Linked DNA regions of Callithrix jacchus. The main gene of each other region encodes a partner of the protein of the gene in region 3 in a complex. Links are inferred from orthologs where the notes say so. Each region holds a gene or a part of one and is shown on either strand. Other genes may lie near its edges.

Region 1 (3,585 bases), on a different chromosome or scaffold from region 3:
TGACTGGTTTCTTTTCACCTAGCTTAATGTTTTCTTTGCTTGCTTTTTTTTTTTTTTTTTTTGAGACAGAGTCTTGCTCTACCTCCTAGGCTGGAGTGCAGTGGTGTGATCTTGGCTCACTGCAAACACCACATCGCAGCTTCAAGGGATTCCCTTGCCTCAGCTCCTGAGTAGCTGGGATTACAGGTGTGAGCCACCATGCCTGGCTTATTTTCGTATTTTTAGTGAAGACAGGGTTTCACCATGTTGGCCAGGATGGTCTCAAACTCCTGACCTTGAGTGATCCACGCCCACCTCTGGCCTCCCAAAGTGCTGGGATTAAAGGTGTGAGCCACCACACCCGGCAGCATAAAGTTTTCAAAAAGATTATCTATATTGTGGCATCTGTCAGTACTTCATTCTCTTTTATTGCCAAATAATATTCGATTCCATGGACATACCACATTTTATTTGTCCATACATCTGTTGATGGACATTTGGGCTGTTTTCACTTTTTGGCTCTTAGAAGAATTCTGCTATGAAATTCATGTACAAAATTTTGTGTGGATATAGTTTCATTTCTCTTGGATTTATGCCTGGAAGTGGAATTGCCAGGTCGTGTGGTTATAACATTGTGTTTAACATTCTGATGAACGGCGAGACTGTTTTCCAAATCAGCCACATCATCTTTGTTCTCAGCAGCAGTGCATGAGGGTTCTAGTTTTTCACAACCGTGACAACAATTTTAGTTATCTGCCTTTTTGATGCTAGCCATCCTCGTGGTGGTGAGGTGGTATCTCATTGTGGTTTTGAGTTGCATTCCCTGGTGATTAATGGTGTGGAGCATCTTTTCATGTGCTCATTGGCTATTTTTATATTGTCTTTGGAGATATAATCTGTTCATATTCTTTGTCCATTTTATAATTAACTTGTCTTGTTGAGTTTCAGTAGCTCTTTATATAACCTAGATACCAATACCCTATCAGACATATGCTTTTCAAATACTTTTATTCTGTGGATTGTCTTCACTTTCTTGGTGGTGTCCTTGGAAGCATAAAAGCCTTCTTAATTTGATGCAATCCCATGCCGGGTTCAGGTGGTAACCCCGAGTGCAGGGCTTTCCCACTGCAGTGCTTGCTTTTGAGCCTGGGACCCTTAGCTCTTGGCGTTTAAATGGCTAATGTCTTCTTTCTTGCCTTTTCTCACTTTTCCCTGCAGGGATGGTTGCAGAGGAGTACAATGCCTTTTTCTACTCACTGGTATCCCAGGACACACAGGAAATGGCTTACTCAACCAAGCGGCAGAGATTCTTGGTAGATCAAGGTTATAGCTTCAAGGTATGCATCCATTTGGCCTCGGGTTAGACTAGGACCAAGGCCTTCTTGGTATGCTGGCCTCCAGGAGAAGTGAGGGCCACTGTCAGCAGGCAGGCACTAAGCATTAGGGGATTAGGGGCCTTGCCTCAAACTCCTTTTGTCTCTGCATGAATTGCTGAGGGCAGCTGTGGGAAGTGTGCTGTCCTGGCAGGACTGAGGTGCTAGGGCACTATGGCCAGCACTGTGTGAGTGTGAGCCCTGCAGGGTTGCTTTCTCCGGGACCCCTTTCCAGGTGGCTAGGAGAGCTCTTCCTTTCATCAGCTGGTAAGCTCCAGGCCTTAGTGTGCCTCACTTTGGCTCCCAGACATAAGAGCCATCCCTGTACTACTAATCAGGTATTTTAATAATTGAGAATTGTAGAGCTTTGGCTAGCTTTCATTGGCTGAGGCATTTGCTTTCTTTTCTGTTACACAGATACTACGGTTCTGTCAGTATTATGGTGTCCAGAAGGGCTTTATATTTTGTAGCTAGATGGAGGGTTCTAGAAACAGGGGAATTAAATTCCCCCTGTGGTCCACTAAAAGGACATCCCTAGAACATCAGACTCCCAGGTTCTTGATTGCAAAAGACTGTAGGCTGCTTTTGAGGTGTATTTTCAATGTGTCTCTTTATGCATTGCTGAGAGTTTCCATTGTTGGCCTTAGGAAGACAGAGTTGTCTGGCCTCCCCTCTTTTAGTTACAGGTAGTGGCATTTTTCAGACCTCTCATGCTGGCCTAGAGGACAAGATGCTTGGGTTTTGAGCCCAGTTTTTGGAGGATTTGCATTGTGACCTTTTTATCCATCCATAAAAATCCCTGCTGGTAATAGCATTCCTACCTCCTGATTCCTGCTGAGCTCTGAGGGTAAATCAGAAAGAGCTACTCTGAATTCTTTGAAAGGTGACCTTGACAAAAAGGCACAATCCCATGCTGTAGTAGTTTGTGTTGGTTGGAGCTGTGTCCTCAGTGCTGCCTGTTGAGGAGGAGTGGTTGGAGTTCCCAGAGTCATGACCTGGAGTGGTTAGGCCCTGGGCAGATGTGCACGTCGTCTGTACTCTGGATACCTGGCCACCAGAACTCAGATCCTTACTTGTAGGAATTTTCCTTTAGTTAACATTATGAGAATTTGGAGGGAGAGTTCCCTTTACATAATCAACCCACGCTTTCTGCAGAGATAGGGAAGCCTCATAGTAAGTTATCCCCGTAGACATGAAAACCTAGTCTCCACCGTGCTGTTCTGTTTCAGAGAAGCTCTGTAAATATCTTCTTAATATCCTGTCGTTTTTTTTATGCTCATTCCTGCTGGAAGCCCCAGTTGCTGAGCACAGCAGATGCCAGGAACCTTCTCAGAGGGCCACAGCCTATGCCTTCCAGTCTCTTGTCCCTTCTTTTGGCTGCTCCAAGATGTGAAAGCTACCCAAAGAAGCCTTTTCAAGTCACTGAGATTCTTTGCTTTAATCTTCCATCCATGATCATTTAGATGCTGGGAGCAGGTTTCTCTGAAATTCCTGCATCTCTCTGGTCTTGAGATCATTAGTCAAGCTTCCTATTAAAGGCGGCTGCTGACACTGGTCTCTGGAATGCTAGGGAGGAGTTCTCCATTGTTGGCCACCACAGTGTGGCTGGGACTGGGGAGGGAAGTGACCAAGAGCAGGCAGACCCAGGAGAAGGCAGAGTAGGGCCAGGGGAGAGAGAGCAGAAGGGAGCATGTCTGCCGGCTTGGGCTTCGCAGGTGATCACGAAGCTTGCCGGCATGGAGGAGGAAGACTTGGCATTTTCGACAAAAGAAGAGCAGCAGCAGCTCTTACAGAAAGTCCTGGCAGCCACTGACCTGGATGCTGAGGAGGAGGTGGTGGCTGGGGAATTTGGCTCCAGATCCAGCCAGGTGAGTAAGTGGGTGAGGAGGCTCCAGGTGTCAGCACTCCCACAGGACAACATTTGTAGACACAGACATGTAGTCCTTCCTGGATCATCCATGGGATTTTTTGGAAAATGTTGGAAAACATGGAATTGATGACTAGAAACAGCCCTTGTTGCTCTTTCGGTGTGTGCCCCTTGAACTGTTGCATGCAGGGGAGCTCACAGGGACTCTGGCTGGTCTCCTGCTTTGCTTATACAGGTATTTGTCAGATCTTGATGTTGAAGCCCGGGTTGGCAAGCAGGTGACCCCAGCCCACCTTGGTGGTGATTGGAGGGAGCGTGATGGGCTGGGGTCACATAGTTCCCACACACAGGGCTGCCATCCCTGGC
Region 2 (4,385 bases), on a different chromosome or scaffold from region 3:
TTTCACCCACTTACCCTTTATATGTTTTAGGCCCTTTCCCAAGTTGTTGCACAAGAAGAAATCTTCATTTTCTACTTAAATTTTTTTTCTTTTTCTTGTTTTTAGAGATGGGGGTCTTGCTATGTTGACCAGGCTGGTCTCGAACTCCTGACCTCGTGATCCACCCGCCTCGGCCTCCCAAAGTGCTTGGAATACAGGCATGAGCCACCACACATGGCCGAAACTTTCATTTTCAACACACTCCCAGTCTCTCCCATCTTTCCTATTAGTTTTGCTAGCTAATTGTAGAGTTCTGACAGCTTTTCCTGGCCCTATGCTGAACATACGTAAAATTTCCTCAATTTTGTTCATGGCTCTGATGTATGACTCAAAAAATTACTTGCCATTCTTAACAATACCTTATTGTTTCTCTTCAGCGAATGTTCTTTCAACCAAAGCCTACTGAAATCTGACGATGTATCAAACACTGTACTAGACATTGTGGAGATAAAATGAATAAAGCACTATTTTTTATTTGTCAATTATACCTCAATAAGGCTCTTTTTGCCTAGGACCAGTTCATAGTCTGGAAAGCAAAGGCAGACATGTAAACATACATATTACAGTGCAGAGTGCTAAGTATCACAGCGTGATGTGAAGAAAAACTAATTTCTTCCGGGGGAGTTGATAAAAGGTGTCACAGGAAGTGACATTTCCGTTGGTCTTGAACTACAAGTAGGAGTTTGGCAACCAGAGGACAGGGGTGGGAATGAGGGTAGGGGTAAAACAGGGCATCTGAGGGAAGGGAATCCAGTGTGCAGAGGCTCTGAAATGACCGAGGAAGATTCTGACGTGTTCAGGAAAGTCTGCTGGGTTTGGTGTGGTTGGGTGGGTGGTGGAGTGATGGGTGGTGGTGGAGGGCCCAGTTGAAGCAGAAGGGTTGAATTTTATTCCAGAGGCAAGAAGAGAAAGAGAACATCGTTTACGCAGGGGAGGAAACGACCAAGTTTGTCTCTTACTTGTTCATTTCTTCACAGACCTCCGGGTTTTGGAGTCTGAGGTGCTCTGCTCGCTTAATCAGAAGAGCTCAGGCAGCCTCCGAGCTGAAACACCGCTTTCTTTTCAGGTCTAGAAACGGCATGTGTTCAGTACCAGGGCTACCCAGTCTGATCCCAGTGCCCACCTGTGCTAATGACGTTGGCCAAGGACGCCCATTTGCTACCCAGATCCTGCCCTTCAAATACTGTCTCTCTCTCTCTCTCCTCTCTCTGGCTAGGACTGGACATGTTCTGACAGCTCTTGTCTCTTTGAACCCCATTTTTTCATTCTGATAATCTTTTTCTTCAGTTATGCTGACCTTGTCTTTAAATACATTGCTAACGTTTTGGCTCATCCCAACCAAGTTTCAATCCCTCTGATAGACATCGCTGACAGCCACGCCCACCCGAGAAATTGCCGACACAGGAAGTTTGTCCGCAACAGGGCGCCGTACTGACGTAGTAATACGCAGGCGCAATCCCAGCTCCCGGCGGCGTGTTCCCCTTTCCGCGGGTTTCCGGTGTCCGGGCCGGTGAGAAACGCCGGCTCTTCACCTCTCAGCGCGGCTTAGCGCTTTGCTCCGGACGTTCGCTCCGCAGCCCTCCGGCTCCTGGGGTCGCTGCTACAGCCCGCGCGCCTCCACCAGCGGCAGACCCATGGCCGAGCGCGGGGAACTCGATCTGACCGGCGCCAAACAGAACACGGGAGTGTGGCTTGTCAAGGTAACGTTCGCTGCGCGCTCCTCCCAACACGAGTATAGTTTAAGTAACTTGAACCCATCCGGCTGCGTGCGCCTCTTAAAGTTCTTTTACGGCTGTCTCGTTAGAGCTTCACGTACTTTGAGAGGCAGGAGGCATTGCTGTATGTTTGCAGATGAGGAAATCCGTTTAGGCGCGCCAGTTACGAGTCTGAATCCACCTGGACTCGTCTCTTCTTCTCACGGCTTTCCTGGAGCCTCGTCCTGATGTCCCCGGTTTGGACGGTGCATTTTATCTAGGACCGAAGAATTCCTTGTGTCTTCTCTTGGTGAAACTGCTTTTAGCCATGAGCCTGTGTGGGGTAGTTGAATGTCTGTTTTCTGTACATTTTTCTCGGCGAGAAAGTAGAACCGGTCCATGCGTACCCTTAAAGTGTTGTGTTAGGTTGATGGTCCTTAATGGAGCTCCGAAAAGAGGCGAGACAGCTCTCAACTCGCAGGAGACGTCATTGGACTGGGATATTCTTTGTTTTTTTTTTTTTTTTTTTTTTTTTTTTTGAGACAGAGTTTCACTCTTGTTACCCAGGCTGGCGTGCAATGGCGCGATCTCGGCTCACCGCAACCTCCGCCTCCTGGGTTCAAACAATTCTCCTGCCTCAGCCTCCTGAGTAGCTGGAATTACAGGCACGCGCCACCGTGCCCAGCTAATTTTTTGTATTTTTAGTAGAGACGGGGTTTCACCATGTTGACCAGGATGGTCTCGATCTCTTGACCTCGTGATCCACCCGCCTCGGCCTCCCAAAGTGCTGGGATTATAGGCGTGAGCCGCCGCGCCCGGCCTGGAATATTCTTTTAGAGCACAATTGGGTCTCGTGAAACTGACCATCAGTAAGTGTTTTACGTAAAGACAGCGATTTTGGTTAGCTCACAGTGGGCACTACTCGTGCTTCACTGTTTCATGTTGGGGAGTGTTGTCTCCTAGGGGAGGCTCATAATACTTAGGCATATTCGACATGTGATCCTGAAACTCATTGAAACTTAAAATGTAGGGACTTTTGGTTTCTTAATGCTTTCGCTTATTTTATCACATGGCTGAGTTCTCGTCAATTATATCTAAGCGGTCTTCCTTGTCGGTCTTCCTAAAAGAGCTCCCTTATGATCATTTGCTAACATGACATATCCATGTTACATTCCTCAAAGCACTTTTCACGGTGTAGAGTGATTTTGTGTTAATATGTGAAAAGTTGGTTACCTTCGTCTTTCCAACACAAAATTGCATTCCGTGAGAACAGGATCTTTGCCTGTTTACCCAGAATAGTGTTTGGCACATGGTAATTATTCAACAAACAGGTGATGAATAAATGCCTGACCTCTCACTCTTCAACCCTTGCCTTAGTCTGTGGCACTCATTTGACTTATTTCAAAGCTCAGTATGACTTAAAAGAATGGATTAAATAGGCCGGGCACGGTGGCTCAAGCCTGTAATCCCAGCAGTTTGGGAGGCCGAGGCGGGTGGATCACGAGGTCAAGAGATCGAGACCATCCTGGTCAACATGGTGAAACCCCGTCTCTACTAAAAAAAAAAATCAAAAAATTAGCTGGGCATGGTAGCGCGTGCCTGTAATCTCAGCTACTCAGGAGGCTGAGGCAGGAGAATTGCCTGAACCTAGGAGGTGGAGGTTGCGGTGAGCCGAGATCGCACCATTGCACTCCAGCCTGGGTAACAAGAGCGAAGCTCCGTCTCAAAAAAAAAAAAGAATGGATTAAATAGGCATTTCTCGCTCCAGCAGCATGTTAATTGGAGGAGAGTCACTAAGGAAGAGATGATCCTTGCAGACTGAAGGAAAAAGCTTGAAAACATAGTGTGACTGGAGATGGTGCCGTTGTCCTAGGAGCATGGTAAATGCTCAATGTTTGCCTTACATGATTTGGATGGGTAGACATGGTGTATACCATGGGGAGTGGAACAGAAATGCAAGACTCAAAATACGTAATCGTGGAAAACATGGCATGTTTTGGCATGTTGTGGAAAACAGACCCTAGAGCAGAAGATCTGTGTAAATAAAGGTTGGGCCCATATACTCAGACTGTCATGTCATGAAGTGGAAATGTTCTAACTTTAGTTTACAAGGAAGTAACAAACTTTTTGGAGGACTTGAGTGAGGTAGCGACGCCAGGTATTCAGAAAAAAAATGTTTGGCAGTGTGCAGTACGAATTAGAGAGGAGGGCAACCAGAGTCACAATTAGAAAATTATCACAGGATTGGGCTGGGCCTGGTGGCTCACGCCTATAATCCCAGCACTTTGGGAGGCTGAGGTGGGCAGATCACGAGGTCAGGAGTTTGAGACCAGCCTGGCCGATATGGTGAAACCTTGTCTCTACTAAAAATACAAAAATTAGCCAGACATAATGGCACATGCCTGTGGTCCTAGCTACTCGGGAGGCTGAGGCAGAAAAATCGCTTGAACCGTGGAGGTGAAGGTTGCAGTGAACCAAGATCGTGCCACTGCACTGTAGCTTGGGCGACAGAGAGATTCTGTCTCAAAAAAAAAAAAAAAAAAATCACAGGATGCTAGGTACATGATAATGAAGCTTAGGAGTTAGGGAAACTTTGAGTAAAATTGTCAGGATTTGCTGACTCACTCAGAAAAAGAACTCGAGCAAAGTAAT
Region 3 (4,326 bases):
GGTTTCACCATGTTGACCGGGATGGTCTCGATCTCTTGACCTCGTGATCCACCCGCCTCGGCCTCCCAAAGTGCTGGGATTACAGGCTTCAGCCACCTCGCCCGGCCTAGTCCCATACTTCTTGACCTGAGACTTATCAGTAAGATCAAAGATCACATGATTATATGTCTGTGATTACATATGAATTATATGTATGTGATTATTTTACGGTTATATATAGGAATAACTACGTTACAATATCTCTAATTCTTTTCTAATTCTGTGTTTATATGAGAACATGCTGAGGCTTCAGACCCTTGCCTCAGTGCTTGCAGGGTTCCCCCCTACAGCTGACAACTTAAAACTTTTCTAAACAGGTAAAAGCAATGGAGAGCTGGGACATGCCTGTGAGCACGTCCAGCACAGATATCTTGGTTAAAGTACAAGGACACAGGATGTACTAATTGCCTAGAAGTATGGCATATCTAACACCTGCATAGGACAGGGCTTAACAGTTATTAACACACTTATGATTTATTCTTTTTTTTTTTTGAGACGGAGTTCCGCTCTTGTTACCCAGGCTGGAGTGCAATGGCGCGATCTCGGCTCACCGCAACCTCCGTCCCGTGGGTTCAGGCAATTCTCCTGCCTCAGCCTCCCGAGTAGCTGGGATTACAGGCACGCACCACCATGCCCAGCTAATTTTTTTGTATTTTTAGTAGAGACGGGGTTTCACCATGTTGGCCAGGACGGTCTCGATCCCTTGACCTCGTGATCCACCCTCCTCGGCCTCCCAGAGTGCTGGGATGACAGGCGTGAGCCACCGCGGCCGGCCTGATTTATTCTTTAACAGGAAAGGAAACTGTAAAAAGGAACCTTTCTACTTCCCACTGTTGGAAATAGATGGTCGGTGCCACAGAGAAAAATCAGCACTGAGACAAAGGCTCTTTGAGCAACGCAGTTTTGACTTCGTGGACTGCAGGAGGGCTCCTCTAGAGAGATGCCCAGCTCTACCCGAGCCTCCCAGTTATCCGTCTAAACGAGGGACACTTCACTGCCATCGCACAGGTAGGGAAACTGAAGCTCACTGGCACTAAAGGGGACATGGGCTGGATACAACAAAGAGAACCCTGTAGACTTTGGTGTACAAATATTTACAGTTCTCACTAGGCTGACCGCCCCTAGGAGCTGAGCTGCCCCTTGGCCCCATCTAGGCCTCAGTTTCCCCACCCACGCTCCGGCCCCGCTCCGTGGGATTCTAAACCGCTGCCCCAACGTGGGAGTTGAACGGAAACTACAACTCCCGAGAGGCCGAGCGGCCAAAGACACGGGAGAACTGCGGAGCGAGAGTCTCGTGCAGCCAACTGTCGCGCTCGTAAGGCTCGGGTTGCCCTTGGCGCTGCCGGTCCCAGATGTTGCTGCAGTCAGGCCTTCGCGGAAGGCAGCCCAGCTCCGGGCGGGGTAAAGCGAAGGGGACCTGACTGGCGTTCGGCGCAGGCGCAGTCCGCGCGAGACGTCACTAGCGCATGCGTAGGGGGTGCGAGTGGCGACCGCCATGGACGACGAGGAGGAGACGTACCGGCTCTGGAAAATCCGCAAGACCATCATGCAGGTCAGCCGCGCGCCGGGCAGCTGTTTAGAACCGTGGGGTGGGGCCGGGGGCGCAAGAGGTGGGTGCAGGGGCACGAGGTGGGGTCGAGCTCGGCCTCTTGGCGTAGTCCCGTCGGAGCAGCAGCGATGAAGGGGCGGGCGGTGACGGGAGGCCTCGAGGCCGCCGGGGTTCTCAGGCGCTGGGCCCGACCTGAGCCGGCAGCGGGGAGGGGGATTTCGGGACGTTTGGGTGCGGGAGCTTAGGGGTGGTCGGGCGGCTCGGGCCTGGTGCGGCGCGCGTGGCGGCAGGAGGAGGAGGAAGGGGCGCCCCCAGACCCTGCCCCGCTCTGTGGTTCCGCGGCGCCTTTTGTCCCCGCGTCCCGGACCCCCGGGGGTCTCCGCATCCGAGGTTGGCGGAGTTGGTGGTTGGGCAGCAGCGACCGAGCTGGGGCGGGAGATGGGGACGTGGAGCCCGGAAGCCGTGCCTCGGGGCCTGGGGCAGACGGAGGCCGCGGGGCTGAGTCGGGTTTGGAAGCCGCGCGGTTCGGAGTCCGGCTCCAGCCTTTGGGGCCGTTCCAGAGCTTTCGCTTTGTCGTCCTTCCCCACCCATTGCCCTTGTCCTCAGCGAAGCCCACGCAGCCGGATTCTCCCTCCTCCGGGCCTCGCTGGGAGCCTGTAGTTCAGTTTCCGTCCTTGTCTTTTTTTTTTTTTTTTTGAGACGGTGTTTTGCTCTCGTATCCAGGCCGGAGTGCAGGGGCGCGCTGTCGGCTCACTGCAGCCTCCGCGTCCCGGGTTCAAGCGATTCTCCTGCCTCAGCGTCCCGAGTAGCTGGGATTGCAGGCACCTGTCACCACCCCCGGCTGAATTTTTTTGTATTTTGAATAGAGGCGGGGTTTCACCATGTTGGCCAGGCTGGTCTGCAACTCCCGACGTCAGATGATCTGACCGCCTGGCCCCCCAAAGTGCTGGGATTACAGGCCTGAGCCACAGCACCCGGCCCCCTGTCTTTTTTTCTTTTTCTCTTTTTTTTTTTTTAAGACGGAGTTTCGCTCTTGTCACCCAGGCTGGAGTGCAATGGCGCGATCTCGGCTCACCGCAACCTCCGCCTCCTGGGTTCAAGCAATTCTCCTGCCTCAGCCTCCCGAGTAGCTGGGATTACAGGCGCGCGCCACCATGCCCAGCTAATTTTTTGTATTTTTAGTAGAGACGGGATTTCACCATGTTGACCAGGATGGTCTCGATCTCTTGACCTCGTGATCCACCCGCCTCGGCCTCCCAAAGTGCTGGGATTATAGGCGTGAGCCACCGCCTCCGGCCCTTTTTTTTACCCCCCCTAAAAAAAAGACAAGGGTTTTTCTCTGCCTTCCAGGCTGCAGTGCAGTGCTGCAGTCATAGCCGGCTGCATCCTCAAATTCCTGGCCTTAAGCAGTCTTCCTGCCTCAGCCTCCCTAGCACTCAGATCACAGTTCTGAGCCTTCGAGCCCGGCTTCCCTCCCTGTCTTTAGGGTCTCTCTGAAAAGTGGTTTGGAGGGCTGGGTGTGGTTGCCAGGTTTGTGCCCTGCCAGGTTCCTGTGAGGCTGGGCCCTGCAAGCCTCTCAGGATCATACTGGTCCCATCCTGTGGTGTGGCTGTGGGGGTAGGGTGGCTGTCCCAAGGCTGAATGAGTGTTCAGCCTTCTGTCCTCTGCAGCAGCTGCAGGTCTGACTTCTGGGTCATGAGATCTGGCCCCCTTCCTCCATCTGCCCTGAGGTCAGCTGGCTCGCTCTTTTTTTTTTTTTTAAATAAAGGGGTTTCACCATGCTGGTCTTGAACTCCCGACCTCAGGTCATCCGCCCGCCTTGGTCTCCAAAGTGCTTGGATTACAGGCGGGAGCCACCACACCCAGCCACCTGGCTCTTTCTTTCTGCAGCTGTGCCATGACCGTGGCTACTTAGTGACCCAGGACGAGCTTGACCAGACACTGGAGGAGTTCAAAGCCCAGTTTGGGGACAAGCCGAGCGAGGGGCGGCCGCGGCGCACAGACCTCACCGTGCTGGTGGCACACAACGATGACCCCACCGACCAGATGTTTGTGTTCTTTCCAGGTGAGCAGCACCAGCTGAGGAGCCAGCTGCCAGCATCCGCCTCCTGCCCAGCTCCTGTCCCTCTGCCCAGTCTGGGGGAAAGGCTCCCCTCCCCTTCCTTGTTTGGGGTGATGCTGTTGACGTCTGATCTCTCTCATGCAGCATCTTTCTAGTTTCCCTCTTATCAGTCCCCTTCTCTCTTCCCTGACCATTTCCTCCAACCAGGATTGTCACGTGGGCCTCTCCACTTACCCCAGCCCCCCATGACCTTGTGTCCCTCAGCTCCCCCATCCTGGCCACTGGGTGCCCTTCCAGCTTCTTGGCCTGGCCTAGGAGGCCCTATCCAGGTCAGAGCAGCCTCCTTGTGAGCTGCGGCCCTGGCCGCCCTAACCCGCCCCAGCCCATTCCCCGCCCTGTCAGCGTCTGCTCTTTGTCCCTCAAGATTGTGCGGGGGACTCTTTTCCCGGGTCCCCTGGGACACTTGGTGTCAGCACTTTCTCTGTGGAGTCTCCCCCACCTGTCTGCCTCCCCATTGTGGCTCTAAAGCCCTCCGAGGTTGGGGGACTGAGAAAGCCTTATGTGCATAGCCCAGCACCTAGAATCAGTGTGGAGGATGGAGCCTGTCTGCTTAGTGGACCTGGTGAGGCTCTTTTTTTTTTTTTTTTTTTTTTCTTTTTTTTTTGAGATGGCGTTT
Region 4 (4,292 bases), on a different chromosome or scaffold from region 3:
CTCAGGGGACAAAAAAGGTAGCAAACCAGACTCCCAGAGAAGCCCCAATTTGAGGTGAGACCCTCCCTCGTAAGGAGGCCATCCCTGACTCCCATCCCCCAAATCCCTGCTCCACTCTCTCTTTTTATTTGTTCACCCGCTTGCCTCTGCCAGGCTCCATTTCTAGACAGGGTATCTCCAAGGGGAACCAGGTGGCTGAGGATTCCAAGCAAAGAGCCAGTGTCCCTCCAGAGGCACCAGAAACCCTGGCAGGTCTATCCTTCCCTCTCCCAATCCCACCACGCTGTTTCAGCATTCTTCCGGTTTCACTCCAAGCTCTGATCACATTTTGTAAACACATTATCCGCTGAATGAGGTTCACTTGTTTATTCTCGCTCAACTTAGCTCTCTGTGCCAGGAGCAGGAGGTCAGCTGGCTGACTGACACAGCATTCCCAGCACCTCATAAGGAATCTGGCACAGTGGGGGCATCCGTCTAGGGATGGCAGGGTAGCCCAAGAAGGTGGCACAGCCTGTGTCTCAGCAGACTCGTGAGAATGCCACCCCACTCTGTGGCCTTGTCAACTGGGGTGAATGTTAGATGGGGGAACCAGGGAAGGGGTGCACCCTGGAGCTGCCAGGGCCCCTGCCTCCATCCTTACCTTCAAGTTCTGGGGCTGGGCCTCTGGCTGAGTCAGCACGTTCTGCCAGCTGCACATGGACAGGTCAGAGACATCGTTCAGACCAAGGGGGCCGGTCATAAACAATGTGGGGCGGAGGGAGCTGGGAAAGTCCATCTTGGGAACAAGGACCAAGCAGCACACTGGCCACCTCGAGAGACTGGAAGCTGGTGAGGGGTGCCACGGTTCCTGAGGAGTGAAAAGGGCACTATGAGCAGCATATGTTCTTTGAGGAAGCAGATAATAAAAAACGAATGAGTATGTAGCCCAACGCCAAGCAGTAATGGGAACTATATTAAAGCTAGCCACCCACCCAGGAGAGCTGGATCTGCTAACAGGCCCAGGGTGTTGTTTCAGCAAAGCCAGCCAGGAAAAGCCTTGTTGAGAAGGTGGCATTGAGCACAGCCTGAACTTAGTGAGGGACAGAGCTATGTACACAGCTGGGGAGAGGGTTCCAGGCAGAACCATCAGCAAGTGTGAAAATCCTGGAGCAGTGACGTGTATGAGACACAATGAGGTGGAGAGCGGGGTGGAGAGCGGTGATGGACCAGACTGCTGGTGGGGCAGCCTCTCACACAATGAGGCAGCCGCAGGGTGAGCGAGGTGGAGAGCGGTGATGGACCAGACTGCTGGTGGGGGCAGCCTCTCACACAGCTCCTAAGCCCCGTCATCACACATTTAGACTATACACACTCCCAAGATAAAGCTCGAGTTACTCCACAGCCAGGGACTGCATCTATCATCGTCTTCCTACTGTCAAGCATAGTGACCCCACAGAAAATGCACTATGGGTTGAATAAAAATAAATTTATATCACAAGGGGCCGGGCGCGGTGGCTCACACTGGTAATCCCAGCACTTTCAGAGGCTGAGGCGGGTGAGTGGATTACCTGAGGTCAGGAGTTTGAGACCAGCCTGACCAACACGGAGAAACCCCATCCCTACTAAAAATAGAAAATCAGCTAGTAGGGTGGTGCATGCCTGTAATCCCAGCTACTTGTGAGGCTGAGAAAGAAGAATCGCTTGAACCCGGGAGGCGGAGGTTGCAGTGAGCCGAGATGGCACCACTGCACTTCAGCCTGGCAACAGAACAAGACTCCATCTGAAAAAAAAAACAACACAAAACCAAAAAACACAACAAAACTCCACAGTCCTCTGGAAGTTTGAGTGGCCATGTTATCCCTCCTTTTTAATTAGCAAAAATAACGGGCAGAAATAACAGCAGAGCTCACTGACCAAGCGCCAGGCATCTACCTGTCAGGCACTTGCTAAACGTTTTCCTCTTCTATCGCCGTCCCTGTTACGGAATTCAAGAAACGAAGGCTCTGCAAGAACTTCAGTACAACAGCTCTTAAGGTGCCACAGCCAAGGCTTGATTCGCACCTGATTCAGAGGCAGAGCTCTGAACCACTGCTCTCCCATGCACCGAAACGCGAAGGCTGGCATTAGGATCTCACTAAACAAAAACCTTTTCCCTTTGGCCAGGTGCCGTGGCTCCTGCAGCAATCCCAGCACTTAGGAAGGCCAAGGCGGGCGGATCACCTGAGGCCAGGAATTTGAGCCAATATAGTCCGGCCAATATAGTGAGATCCTGTCTCTATTAAAAATAACAAAATCTGCCGGGCGTGGTGGCGCACACCTGTAATCGCAGCTACTCGGATGGCTGGAGAACGAGAATCGCTCGAATCCGGGAAGCACTGGTTGCAGTGAGCCAAGATCATGCCACAGGACTCCAGCCTGGGTGACTGAGCAAGACTCTGTCTCAAAAATAAAACAGAAACAAAAGGATTTTCCCTCGGAACCGCACAGCCTGAAACGATCCTACGCAGGTGGAGCGCACGACCCCGCAAAAGCCCTCCCACAAGGCAGCCTCGACTTCCCTAGCCGGCTTCCCGCCCTCGCTGCAGGCTCCCCAGGACCCTTTAGACTTCCGAGGCTTCAGGACTCCGCACTGACGCCAGGCCGGGGACGGGGGATTCGGGGATTTCTCTCCTCCTCCATCTGCGGGTGCACTCCTCCCGAACACGCCCAGTCCGCGCGGAGGAGGCAGATGCACTTACGTGGCCCGGGTCCGATCGTGATTTTCAAGAAAATGGGCCGCGGCGTGAAGCTCGCCCGACCCCGACACCACGCGGGAAACCTCAGACAGAACCACAGAGCCGGCACTCAGCCCCTCCGCGGCCACTCACGGCTTTACCGTTTGAACCGGAAGTGCCTCCTGGGAAGGCAGGAAGTCCCGCCTCCCAGTCAGGCGTCATTGGGTCTTGGCGGACCCGGCGTTCAGGCGGCGCGTGGGCGGCGAAAATAAAGCTCCCTGGAGTCTCAGTAGTGGAGGCTGGGTGATTGTGGGTTCGAATCCCACATCTGCTTCACCAATTTCCTCGGTGTTGTATTGTATTAATCATTTAACGAACTGTTACGGAGCACCTACTATAAGCCAGGCACTGTATTAATAAGTAGGTATCTTAGTGATTGTTCTTAAATCCTAAGAAGCAGGCTTTATAAATAAGAGTACAAATGCCTCCTGAGAGTGAGGCTTTGCAAGGGTTGGTCAGGCAGGGAGAGCTTTAGGCAGTGGTTCTCAAACTCTGGCAAGTGTGCATCAGCAGAAGCACCTGGGGGGCTCATTAAAACACGGTCTCCAGTTGGGTGAGTCTGGGGTGGGGTCTGATAATTTGCCCAAGTTCCCAGGTGATGCTGAGACTGCTTATCTGGGGGTCATGCTTTAAGAACCAGTATCCAGTCATAAACCTCACCGTTATCCTAACGTAGTACTTCTCAAACTTGAGTGAGCCTCAGCTCCACCTGGAGGGCTTGTGGCAAGTTTGCTTCAGCCTTCCTCTGCCTCCTGAGCTGTTGATTCAGTAGATCTGGGATGCAGGCCAAGCGTCTGCATTTCTAGCAAGTTCCCAGATGGTGCTGGTCCAAGGCCCACACTTGGAGAACAGTTGCTTTAAAGAATCAATTTCCAAATTCTCCAACTGTCATCTATAGTTTTTTTCTTTTTCTTTTTGAGATGGAGGCTGGAGTGCAGTGGCGTGATCTCAGCTCACTGCAACCTCTGCCTCCCGGGTTCCAGCAATTCTCCTGCGTCAGCCTCCTGAGTAGCTGGGATTACAGGTGCATGCCACCATGCCTGGCTACTTTTTGTATTTTTAGTAGAGATGGGATTTCACCATGTTGTGCAGGCTGGTCTCGAACTCCTGACCTCAAGTGATCCACCCGCCTTGGCCTCCCAAAGTCTTGGGATTACAGGCGTGAGCCACCATGCCTGGCCTATATCATTTTTATCTGGGAGTTTTTACCTGGACTAAAAATGTCGGCAGGGCTGTGTTCCCCTTGGGAGGCTCTGAGGAAGAGTCTACTGTCTTGCCTTTTCTGGCTTCTGGAAGCTGCCTCCATTCCTTGGCTCATGACCCTTTTCCATCTTCAAAGTCAGCAGTACCAGTCGAATCCTTCTCATGAGGCTCTCTCTCTGGTTTTGACTCTCTGTCTCCCTCTTTCCCACATAAGGACTCATGTGATTACAGTGGCCCCACTCAGGTAATTCAGGATAATCATCTTCCTATTTTATTTTGTTTATTTGAGACATGGTCTCACTCCATCACCCAGGCTGGGGTGCAGTGGTATCATCA
Region 5 (3,585 bases), on a different chromosome or scaffold from region 3:
CGGCCCCAGGTACTCCTTCGATGCTTGTGTGACGTGGCACACTAGCCCTTTTGTATGTGCATAGAGGTCTGGGAATGAATTGTCAGAGTCTTGCTGCCTATCTTGAGGCAGACGGTCCTTTTCTATCTGTAATGTTCAGCAATTAACATCGACATGAGCTACGAGGGACTCCTTTGTTCCCATTCAAATGCTCTAGTCACAGATGATTTCATGTGTATTGTTTCTTATCCCAGCCAAGCCTCTGGCCCTGAGCTAGCCAGCTTCCTCTGCGGCTTTGCTCCAGCAGTGGGCTCATGCCTGGGATTCTCTGGGTGTTAATGGCAGGAGGGCAGGAGAGTTCTATGAGCCCTCTACAGGATTTCAGAAAGCCTGACAAAGCTCTTTCTTTCCCCCTGCTTAGCAAAAGCCACAGTTTTTTTTAAGCTTTGAGCTGGTACTGTTGTCTGCTTCTCAGGCAGATAGATACTTATACTGTGACTAATAAAATGTAGGAAAGGATATTTTCACTTTATGACACTTCTAGGAAATGTGTGATTAAAAGAAACAAGACACCAACTATTTCCTGCTGATGGTCTTCCAGTTTGGTTTCATCTTCATCCTAAAAGACGCACCTCTTCACTATTGGGGAATAGTTTGTTTTCTGATTTGAAATTTGATCCGTGAGTGTTTTGTTCCTTGGAGCTTTGGTCAAGACTCATCTTGGACCAATAGGTCCCCTTGGTTGGTGAAATGGCCATCCCCAAACTGACCTTCTGGGAGCCCTTAACTGAGAAGAGTGCTGGGCTGGGAGTCAGAAGTCAGGAAACATGTTGCTTCATCACTGACTGCATGGCTGATTTGTCACTCTGGGTCTCTTGAGTTTTCTGTGATTTAGGGTTCTGATTTTGAGTTTCCTCCTATGGGGCAAGGCTGTTTTGAGAACCAGACAGGAAACATTTGCTGCCTTTAGCTATTCAGCATTTAGTGAGCACCTCTGTGTCCCAGGGCCTGGTAACCAAGAGGTGATCACTAAGTGCTGAACAAATGACTAAACACTGACCTCTTCCTCTTGCTGACTGCACTGTTAGGAGCCTGCAGGAGGATGCAGGTGAGTGGTGAACCTCCTATGGAGTCAGCCATTCCACAGGGACAGACCCATAGTCTCAACAGCTCCAGGTTAAGTAAGGGCTAGGCTGATGCGAGCCTGTGGCCAAATCTAGTGAAAGGAGGCACAGCAATATAATCATGGTATGTTTATACTTACTCTTATAGTCTGTGTGTCCCCAAAGGCATGGGAACATTGGGAGGAAGTCATGAGGCCGGTTAGGGTTGATGCCCCCCAGAGGGCATTTGACTTGAACTTTAATGACTGGGAACTTCCTAGGAAGGAGAATGGTATTCCTGGAAGATGGAATAGATTTTGCAAAAGCATTGGGTTATAAAAGAGCTTTGGGGTATCCAGGGCAGGCTCATGGTCTTGTATGGTTAATCAAGGAACAAAGGATTGGAAAAAGATAAAGCTGGAGAAGGAGGCTGGGCAGGCACCACAGAGCTTATACTTCCCACGAAAGGATTTTGTTTGATTCTTACAGGTCCTGGGGAACCTCTAAAAATTCCTCTGTGTTTAGAAGCTCCTCAGGCTTTGAGGAGGGTTCTCCATACGTCAGAACCCCATGTTGACTTGATGAGTGGGATGCAGGGGGTGAGGCTTCTGTAGCTGCCTTAGAAAGCAGCACTGACTCTGACTCTAAAGTCTTCTTTTATGCAGGGAGGACAAGATATTCTGTCCATGATGGGCCAGTTAATGAAGCCAAAGAAGACAGAAATCACAGGTAGGACAACCAGCATGGCCTGTGAGCAAGGGGCAGGGTGGAGGGCCCTGTGTTCTGAGTTGCTCTTGAGGCTCTGTGAGCGCATCCACCCTAAGGAAATGCCTCAGAACAGTTCCTTCTTCCTCATAGTTCAGAGCTTGACTCTAGCCTAAGTCTCTGGTGTCATCTAGGCAGCCATACAGCACGTGTGTGCTCTCTGCCCCTCTGCAGTCACAGTTTTTGGCCCCTATGAGGCCCCAGAAATGTGGATTTGTGTTGCCTTGCTCTGCTGGAGCACAGGCTCTGGAGCCTTGGTGCTGTCACCCTCCTCCCCAGTAGAGTGCAGGGCAGCTCCACAGATCAGCTCCACACACTACCCTGCCCAGTTTGTGGGCACTTCCCAGAGCTCCATGAGGGACACTGCTGCTGCTCCCATGTGAACCTTTATTTTACCCTGCTGCTCTTCCTAGCTTTCCTGTTTTATTTTTATTTTTCTAATTCTACCTACAGTTCCATCATCTTAAGCTGGTAATTAAATATTAAAGCAAATATTATCGTTAAAATTTTAGCCAGGGCAGCAATCTGAAACCTTTCTGTTCGGGTTTGTCAGGAGCAGTTTCTTTGTTTTCATATGGTTTTCGGTGTGCATCCCCTTTGGACAGTTCCTGCCTCGTGCCTCTGTTGGAAGACGCTGCCTCAGATCTTCCAGTTCTCTGTTTGTGAGCTGCTCCTTCCTGATCATAACACAGGAGCTGGTTTGGAAAATAAGTACTGAGACCTTAGCTGGGTTGTGTAACTTTTGAGAGACTCATCCCTCTAGGAGCTCTGAGATTGGACCTTTCTTCAGAGCCTTTCATTCCTCCAAGGTTTCTGCTCAGGATTCTAAAAGCACCCACTTCCTTAGTCCAGGCACTTGATTGAAAGTTAATTAAACTAAGCATTGTTATGTGGGACCAAAAGAAAGGGTCATTTACTGAGTATAGAACAGGAAAATTTGCATGTGAAAACGCATTTCACCCAGGGCTCCGAAACTCCAATGTCTCCCAGATCAGACAGAGCTAGATTGGGTGTGTGGGAGGTGATAAGGCATGGTAGTCAGTGAGTGTGTGCCATGAAGGGATTCCCATGCAGAATACCCATGCAGCCTTTTCACATTTAACCAAACACATCTTTTGGGGGAGGCTGCCAATTCTGTGACCTTTAGGTGTGATTATCACTGTGTTCAGATGATGACACTGAAGCCTGGAGTGGGGACACACCCTGCCTGGGGTCAAATAGCTAGTAGAAAAACTAGGCTGCCAACGTGGGTTTGGATTGAATTTAGGTTGGGGAGAAGAGAAAAGGTGATAGTCTCCCCCAGCCTGGTGCTGACCTTGCCCCCGCCCATCCTTGCATCTCCTAGACAAACTTCGAGGGGAGATTAATAAGGTGGTGAACAAGTACATCGACCAGGGCATTGCTGAGTTGGTCCCGGGTGTGCTGTTTGTTGATGAGGTCCACATGCTGGACATTGAGTGCTTCACCTACCTGCACCGCGCCCTGGAGTCTTCTATTGCCCCCATCGTCATCTTTGCATCCAACCGAGGCAACTGTGTCATCAGGTAGGATGGCTGCCTGCCAGCCACAAGGCTTTTTTACCTTCCATCTGGGCTTATTTGTTCCTCAGGATCTCTCTAAACTCCATGAGTCAGGACGGGGATGAAGGGAGGTCCTGTTGTTTTTGAGGAAAAATGTGCCAATTGGCTTGGCTCTGGCCTCATTTCTAGTCACCAGAGGCAGCAGCTGCTCTGTCACT
Region 6 (3,585 bases), on a different chromosome or scaffold from region 3:
GCTACCATTCTCATAATTTCTTCCACTTGCTTTTTTATTAGTCTATTTTTGGCATAAGGGAAGCAGTTCAACATCTTAATTTTTTTTTTTTTTTTTTTTTTTTTTTCCAAGACAAGAGGCTTAGTCACCCAGGCTGGAGTGCAGCGGCACGATCTTAGCTCACTGCAACCTCCACCTCCCGGATTCAAGTGATTCTTCTGCCTCAGCCTCCCCAGTAGCTGGGATTACAGGCACCTGCCACCATGCCCAGCTAATTTTTATATCTGTAATAGAAACAGGATTTTGTCATGTTGGCCAGGGTGGTCTTGAACTCCTGACCTCAGGTGATCTGCCCACCTCAGCCTCCTAAAGTGCTGGGATTATAGGCATGAGCCACTGCGCCCAGCCAAGATGCTAATTTTAAAAGAAGATAAATATTTCAAGAAATGTCCTTTTTTAGAATAACAGTACTAATATGGTTTTGATTTTTAAATTATCTGAGAAGAGACTATAGCTTCTACAGCCCAATATAGATAATGGTTAAAATTTTAGTGAATGTATTTTAAAATTAATTTTTTCCATGTTTGAATTGTATGTGTTTTAGTGCAGGAGTCCTATCACTGATTTCTCTAGTTTCCTCCATTAGATTAATGCACAATGTCTTGTACCTAGTAGACACTCAGTAAATGCTTGTTGAATTGTTAATTTTCTGTCTCCTAATCTTTCTGCATCTGAATGAAGCCCAGGAGTAAATTCAGGTAAAACCTGTGAATTAAAATTATCTTAACAGTATAATAGTGCAGATTCTCTGCCTCACAAAGACCTGCACTGTCTGGCCCTGCCAGACTCTTCACATTCAACAATAAAGCCTTGTTGGGCTGTTTGCAGTTCCTGAAAGCTCCGTCCCATCTTTGTCATAGTCTGTACCATATTGCATTCTCATTACTTACATGTTACTAAACATTTAGCAACTTGAAGAAAAGGACTGTGTCTGTACCTTGAGTGCCCAGAACACATTAATTGCTCGATAAATGTTTGGTGGAAGAATAAAACCAAGTGAAAACTTTAGCAAAGCTATCAGAATCTGGTAGATATGAAAATACTTTGATGCCATATTTTGAATTATCATTGTTTTATTTGTAGGTTTACAAAGCATTTTTACTCAGTGAAAATTTTTTACTTAAATGTTTCAAGAAAGACATTAATTTTATATTTAATTTATTCTTTATCATAAACATGTAATTAGTACCAATTATGTGTAGGTTGTAGCAGTTAGGAAGACAAAGCAAGATTGAGTCACCCTCAAGTTTCAGAGGGAAACATAGGCCGGGTGCGGCAGCTCACACCTGTAATCCCAGCACTTTGGAAGGCTGAGGCGGGAGGATCATGAGGCCAGGAGATTGAGACCATCCTGGCCAACATGGTGAAACCTCGTCTTTACTGAAACTACAAAAATTAGCTGGGCTTGGTGGTACGTGCCTGTAATTCCAGCTACTCGGGAGGACTGAGGCAGGAGAACCGCTTGAACCTGGGAGGTGGAAGTTGCGGTGAGCCGAGGTCACACCATTGCACTCCAGCATAGAGCAAGACTCTGTCTCAAAAAAAAAAAAAGAGAGAAACAAAACAATAAGCCCTTCATGTGTGCAGTAGACGGGTAAATGCCAGGAGACCTTCTTTAGCACTCAGAAGAGAGCCAGTCAAAGGAGGCTTGGTCTCCTATGTCTGTTCTTAGAGGAAGTCACTGATATAACCAAGTTCTGTAAAATGAGTGAGCTTCAGTCAGGCAAAGCCTGAGATGAGGAATGGGGGAAGAAACTGGCTTTCTAGGCAAAGGGGAAATTAGAATATGGCTTGTTTGGGGGAACTCTGGAGATTAGGCTGGGAGCTAAAAGTGTTAATGAGTTCATGAGAGCAGGGAAATAGATGATTGGCCCACAGGGGAGTAAGACTAGAGAAAGGGAGAGCAGTTTGAGTGTGACCTAAGCAGCAACAGTGGATGGGAAGAAAGGGGATGGATTGGAAGCAGTCAGCACTGAGCCAAGTACTCTAGTATATTCATTAATGCAGTCTTCCAATAGCTATGAGGCAGGTACTGTTCCTAATCCTATTTTAGATAGATGTTTTAGAAACTGAGGCACAGAAAGTTTATATAGCATATCCCAGGTCACAGAGCTCGTCAGTGATGGAGCGGGGACTCTAGTCCAGGCAGTTTGGTTCCGTAGTCTATTCTTAACCATGGTAGTATATGCCACATCGAGAGAATGGAATTAACAGGACCTAGTGACTGAATGTATGTAGGAGATTCAGTTCAATTCCATGCAACTTCATTATCTCTTATAAATAATGGCTGTCATACTTGAAATTGATTAGAGTAGCGTGTGGTCACATCTTAGATACTTGGATTGGGAAGTAGAAAAATTTGTTTAGTAACTTAAAGAGTTTTCAAAATCTGTTCACTTGAGGATAATCTCAGCTTATTCTCTTTATAACCCATTTTACAAGTGAAGAAACTGAGGCTAAGTGACTGTAATCCAAGAGTCACAAAGCTAATAATTGGAAAGCTTAAATACAGGTCCTAGGTTTTCTGGTTCCAAGTCCCACATTATTCAGTCTTGAGTAATAGGAATAGTCTATGCTGAACATATAATGTCTTTAGGAAAGCAGTATATCTAGTTAAACACATGTTGAGGGCTTACAGTGTGCTAGCCAGGATGCCAGTGCACGTACATTCCTAGAGAAGCTTTTGGTCTTATAAGGGAGTTAGTTTTGGGTGAGCACACAGTGCTATAGAAAAAACTGGTATGTGTCTGTCTGCCTGGTGCCAGGATGTGTCCTATGAATAGTAGATGTTTTAGGAAGTCAGAAGAGGGAATGATACACTGTTTTAAGATTCTACCATTCATTTTTTGCTATAGATGCCACGTTTTGGTGTTTTATTCACAAAATGTGTGTCTCTGAGTTCTAGCATAGTATCATGTTTTAAGATAAAGGTTATTTCATGGATATATACACTGGAATGGTCTAGTTAGCCAAAGAATTTAATTTACATTTTACCGTTTTGTTCTTCAACAGATGAAATGCATAGCTTAACTTGCCACGTGGTAAAAATGACTGGAATGGGAGAAGCAGATTTTTTGACATTTGATCCTATAGCTAAAGTGGCAAAAACTGTTAAGTATGATGTACAAGCTGTAGCTGTCATTGTGGTGGTCCTGAAACTGCTCTTTCTACTGGATGACAATTTAGAGTGGTAAGTGTATGTCAGTTTTATGACAAGTAACAGAGTTACTTAGTTTTTTCAGAAAGCTTTGAATGTCATGAAGACACTTTAGAAAAAAGAGCTAAAGAAAAACTTTGTACTATATTTACCTGTATGTTATCTCAATACAGAATGGAGACTCTCAGTCATTATAAAACACTGACTAGTAGTCACAATTATTTCTTACACAGTGCTCTGACTCAGCTGTTTGTCAGTTGTTTGATCGTGTTTTATTCCTGTTATTGTTTAGGTAGCAGTGTTCCTTGTTGTGCCACTAATTTCCTCGTTTTAAAGTATCTTCATAAATCCTGAAGAGTGGTTTAGCATTTTATCTATATCCCGTTAGG
Region 7 (3,585 bases), on a different chromosome or scaffold from region 3:
AACCCTGAGCAGGGGGTTGCCCAGGCCTCCCAGGCAGGGCTAGAAGCAGTCACACACACAGCTCAGGGGTTCCCTCCTAGAGATAGGCAGCAAAACACTGGAGGAGCCTGCAGATAGGACACGAGAAACATGGGATGGGGAGAGAGGACCCAAGGAAGAGACATTGGATGAGGAGACAGCCAGGGATAGATGGGAATGACAGCAGGAAAAACAAGAAGCACATCTGCTTGGCAAGGAAACAAAGTCATACACAGCCAGTTCTCAAAAGATGACGCTGGCAGCCACCACGCTGTGAGTAGCCCTCTTTCCTGGTTGGCATACCCTCGCTGCGGATTCACATGCGCATGGTGCTGTACCCAAAAAGAAGCCAGCTGTCTGCAACCTCTGCCCAAGCAGAGCAGGGGTATGGAGTGCTGGAACTGTTCTTGGCCCTTTTGATGAGGATGTTGGACAGTTGACCACACATACCCAAATACTCTCATGGGATGGGAGGGAGAGGCCAAGAGTCTGAGAGCCAGGGAAAGCCAGAAGAAACCGGTAGAGTGGACGAGGTGCTGGCCTGGGGGACACAAGACTTGGGCCTGTTCTCCTGGCTCTGAACTCGCTGTGTATGGGGTCTTTGGTAAGTCACTCCGCTTCTCTGGGCCTGGTCTTTATGTGAGGTGAGCCAGGTCTGTGTGGTGCCCTCCAGCTCTGAAACTATTTTGTGAGGAGGACTGAGCTTGGGGAAGAGGAGGCTGAGCTCTGCTTCTGGTTTTCTGTGAGAACTGGAGGGAAAGGTGCTGCCTCTCTATGCCTGGTGCTTCTCTAAGAGGCAGGGGTTGGGCTTAATTGCCATGAGCTCCTGGCACCTTCCAGTGCCACTCTTGTGAGCCTATGAAGGCAAAAGAAGAGATAGACATTATGTGGGAGCCAAGAAAGGAGGTAGATATGGAATAAAAAAAGACGGATTACAAGAGGGAGGCCATGGAGAGGTGGGCAAGGATGCAGGGAGGGAGGGAGGTGGGGGTGGGAAGGGGGTGAGGCTGAAAAGGGGGTGATGAAGGGAAGTCAAGTGGTGGGAGAGAATGAGTGGGCTGAGGGAGGGAGGGAGGGTTGGAGGATCCAGACAGCTGGGATCCTGGAGAAAAGGAGGAAGGTGATGGTGTCAGAACTGGACAGGAAGGCGCAGGGCTCCTGGCCGTGGCTTGTATTGTAAGAACTCTGGGTTTCCCTCCACACAGTAGTCTCCTCTCATACTTTGGAAACAGGACTCAGCCCAGCCCTGGTCCTATGTAGAGGCCACCTCCAGGGGTACAGGCTAATGTCAGCTGCCACAGACAATAAGAGAGTGATGGGAGCAGGGCCTGCACCTGACTCCACTGGGTATTTTGTGGTGGTGGAGAAATGGGTGGGGGAGCGCCAGCACTGCCACTGCGTACTGCATGACTGGGTAATGCCACGGCCCCCTTCTCTGACTCTCCCTTGCAAGGAGAGAATAGGATGTAGGATTTAATGTCTGGGTGACCCCTGCAGCTCCCACCATCTGTAGTAGAAGCCAGCAGGTCTCCTCTGTGATGAGTCCCGCGGGGAGGTGGGCAGGGTGCCAGCCTCCACCCCTGCACCACAGCATAGGAGGCCGCAGAGAGCGCACAAGGAGGGGTCTGGGTGGCTTTCTTAGCTCAGGGTGAGATATCCTTGGGTCCTGGGTGACCCCATCCCCTCCTCCCCTCAGATGAAATATATTCAGGACTTCCAGAGGGAGAAACAGGAGTTCGAGCGAAACCTGGCCCGATTCAGGTAAGGCAGTGGAGCCCAGAGGAGGGCTACGGGCACTGGGTACAGCTGAATAGGCTAACCCTGGCCAGAGCCTGGAGTTTGCCGTCTCTGAGGCATGGAAGAAGGATGGGTCACATGTGAGCCCTAGTGTGTCATGCTCAGAGGGGCAGGGACAGTCAGGCAGCCACCGTCCCACTGAGCCACAGCTGAAAGGCCAAGGAGGCTTGGTGGGTGGGGCAGCTAGCTTGGGTCTGCCCTGGCAGCATCCCCTGCTGATCCTTGCTCCCCATGTCCTGGCTAGGGAGGATCACCCTGACCTAATCCAGAATGCCAAGAAATCGGACATCCCAGAGAAGCCCAAAACCCCCCAGCAGCTGTGGTACACCCACGAGAAGAAGGTGTATCTCAAAGTGCGGCCAGATGTGAGTGTCCGGCCAAGGGTTGGGGGTGGAGGATGCACGGTGGTGGCCAGGGGGGAGCCGCGCCAGGTCGGCTGGGCACGGTGCAGGGGAGCAGGAGAGGAGGCCCCTCCCCAAGGGTGGGCTGCATGGACAGGGCCTGGGCCAGCTGGCGTGCGAGCGTGTGCGTGCGTGCGTGCGTGTGTGAGCCAGTCCCCTTGTACCCAGGCGGGATCCCCGCCTCTCCACCTTCCCCTCCTGGCCTGTGGGGGACACTGATGTGACCTCCCATGGCCTGAGGGGGCGGGGGCCTCTGTGCCCCCTTCCCCCCCCCCCCCACTCCTGGCTGCTTGTGCGTGTCTGACGGCTTTTGGTTTGCAGGCCACTACGAAGGAGGTGAAGGACTCCCTGGGGAAGCAGTGGTCTCAGCTCTCGGACAAAAAGAGGCTGAAATGGATTCATAAGGCCCTGGAGCAGCGGAAGGAGTACGAGGTTAGGCTTCCGCTGCGCTCCTCCCCGTCCGGCTCTTCACGAGCCTCTGCCCTTCGACTCCGTGGCCACCGCACTCTGCGGAAGGTGTCACTCCCCATTCCTCTTTTGAGGGAGGGGCCTTCTGGGCCCCTTGCCTCTGCCCCTACCTTCCCCACCCCCCGCCCCATGAGATCTCAGGCTAGGGCAGGGCAGGGCACCACGTCTCGTGTGACACTGCTGACACACAGCCACCCCCAGCTTTGCTCCCTGCCTGCCCTCCCCAGCGGCTCTCCCCCTACCCCTGCCCCAGCTAACTCCACACCACGTTGCCCTCCGTCCCCCCACCTGGCTCTGCAGGAGATCATGAGAGACTATATCCAGAAGCACCCCGAGCTGAATATCAGTGAAGAGGGTATCACCAAGTCCACCCTTACCAAGGCCGAACGCCAGCTCAAGGACAAGTTTGACGGGCGACCCACCAAGCCACCTCCGTGAGCGCTGCCCTGGGGTGGGTGGGCGAGTGGGTAGCTGGGGAGTTGGGTCGGACTCTGTGGGCGAGGAGGCCTGCCGCCCTGCTCACTCACGGGCTGCACCTCTCCCCCCACGGCTCCGATAGGAACAGCTACTCGCTGTACTGCGCAGAGCTCATGGCCAACATGAAGGACGTGCCCAGCACAGAGCGCATGGTGCTGTGCAGCCAGCAGTGGAAGCTGCTGTCCCAGAAGGAGAAGGATGCCTATCACAAGAAGTGTGACCAGGTGAGCTGTGGCAGGGGCCGTCCTGCCTTGGGGTTTTGAAGCATGAGGTCTGACCCCAGCTTGGGCCAGTCAGTTCTTGGTGGCATATACCTCAGGTACCTGCTTCCATTTGGGTGTTGGGCTGGGCTGGGCTGGGCTCAGAGCTGAGCCCATCCAGGCAGGGAGTCCAGCCCACACCCAGGCTCTGGAGGCCCATTGAA

Evidence for each region.
Region 1: POLR2E (region 3) and ERCC3 share a complex: the UniProt entries of both Homo sapiens proteins name them as parts of the TBP-based Pol II pre-initiation complex. The link is inferred for Callithrix jacchus from reciprocal best matches to the Homo sapiens genes POLR2E and ERCC3.
Region 2: POLR2E (region 3) and GTF2F2 share a complex: the UniProt entries of both Homo sapiens proteins name them as parts of the TBP-based Pol II pre-initiation complex. The link is inferred for Callithrix jacchus from reciprocal best matches to the Homo sapiens genes POLR2E and GTF2F2.
Region 4: POLR2E (region 3) and TAF1C share a complex: the UniProt entries of both Homo sapiens proteins name them as parts of the pol I pre-initiation complex. The link is inferred for Callithrix jacchus from reciprocal best matches to the Homo sapiens genes POLR2E and TAF1C.
Region 5: POLR2E (region 3) and RUVBL1 share a complex: the UniProt entries of both Homo sapiens proteins name them as parts of the PAQosome complex. The link is inferred for Callithrix jacchus from reciprocal best matches to the Homo sapiens genes POLR2E and RUVBL1.
Region 6: POLR2E (region 3) and TAF1B share a complex: the UniProt entries of both Homo sapiens proteins name them as parts of the pol I pre-initiation complex. The link is inferred for Callithrix jacchus from reciprocal best matches to the Homo sapiens genes POLR2E and TAF1B.
Region 7: POLR2E (region 3) and UBTF share a complex: the UniProt entries of both Homo sapiens proteins name them as parts of the pol I pre-initiation complex. The link is inferred for Callithrix jacchus from reciprocal best matches to the Homo sapiens genes POLR2E and UBTF.

The regions. Positions count from the first base shown.
Region 1 is NC_133507.1:37,211,292-37,214,876, forward strand, and holds part of ERCC3 (general transcription and DNA repair factor IIH helicase/translocase subunit XPB), read left to right. Parts: intron 1-1,197; coding exon 1,198-1,316; intron 1,317-3,067; coding exon 3,068-3,220; intron 3,221-3,585. UniProt on the Homo sapiens protein: ATP-dependent 3'-5' DNA helicase/translocase. Binds dsDNA rather than ssDNA, unzipping it in a translocase rather than classical helicase activity. Component of the general transcription and DNA repair factor IIH (TFIIH) core complex.
Region 2 is NC_133506.1:164,327,262-164,331,646, forward strand, and holds the start of GTF2F2 (general transcription factor IIF subunit 2), read left to right. Parts: upstream 1-1,528; 5' UTR 1,529-1,673; coding exon 1,674-1,739; intron 1,740-4,385. UniProt on the Homo sapiens protein: TFIIF is a general transcription initiation factor that binds to RNA polymerase II and helps to recruit it to the initiation complex in collaboration with TFIIB.
Region 3 is NC_133523.1:1,037,419-1,041,744, reverse strand, and holds the start of POLR2E (DNA-directed RNA polymerases I, II, and III subunit RPABC1), read left to right. Parts: upstream 1-1,509; 5' UTR 1,510-1,534; coding exon 1,535-1,591; intron 1,592-3,478; coding exon 3,479-3,653; intron 3,654-4,326. Other genes in the region: uncharacterized protein LOC144580922, read left to right, coding at 883-1,047, 1,194-1,444. UniProt on the Homo sapiens protein: DNA-dependent RNA polymerase catalyzes the transcription of DNA into RNA using the four ribonucleoside triphosphates as substrates.
Region 4 is NC_133521.1:41,830,415-41,834,706, forward strand, and holds the start of TAF1C (TATA box-binding protein-associated factor RNA polymerase I subunit C), read right to left. Parts: upstream 2,865-4,292; 5' UTR 2,718-2,864; intron 2,415-2,717; 5' UTR 2,297-2,414; intron 1,955-2,296; 5' UTR 1,912-1,954; intron 848-1,911; 5' UTR 776-847; coding exon 641-775; intron 1-640. UniProt on the Homo sapiens protein: Component of the transcription factor SL1/TIF-IB complex, which is involved in the assembly of the PIC (pre-initiation complex) during RNA polymerase I-dependent transcription.
Region 5 is NC_133516.1:74,053,427-74,057,011, forward strand, and holds part of RUVBL1 (ruvB-like 1), read left to right. Parts: coding exon 1-9; intron 10-1,747; coding exon 1,748-1,811; intron 1,812-3,192; coding exon 3,193-3,391; intron 3,392-3,585. UniProt on the Homo sapiens protein: Possesses single-stranded DNA-stimulated ATPase and ATP-dependent DNA helicase (3' to 5') activity; hexamerization is thought to be critical for ATP hydrolysis and adjacent subunits in the ring-like structure contribute to the ATPase activity.
Region 6 is NC_133515.1:105,072,621-105,076,205, reverse strand, and holds part of TAF1B (TATA box-binding protein-associated factor RNA polymerase I subunit B), read left to right. Parts: intron 1-3,051; coding exon 3,052-3,229; intron 3,230-3,585. UniProt on the Homo sapiens protein: Component of RNA polymerase I core factor complex that acts as a GTF2B/TFIIB-like factor and plays a key role in multiple steps during transcription initiation such as pre-initiation complex (PIC) assembly and postpolymerase recruitment events in polymerase I (Pol I) transcription.
Region 7 is NC_133506.1:71,063,712-71,067,296, reverse strand, and holds part of UBTF (nucleolar transcription factor 1), read left to right. Parts: intron 1-1,714; coding exon 1,715-1,779; intron 1,780-2,059; coding exon 2,060-2,180; intron 2,181-2,537; coding exon 2,538-2,648; intron 2,649-2,984; coding exon 2,985-3,118; intron 3,119-3,243; coding exon 3,244-3,385; intron 3,386-3,585. UniProt on the Homo sapiens protein: Recognizes the ribosomal RNA gene promoter and activates transcription mediated by RNA polymerase I (Pol I) through cooperative interactions with the transcription factor SL1/TIF-IB complex.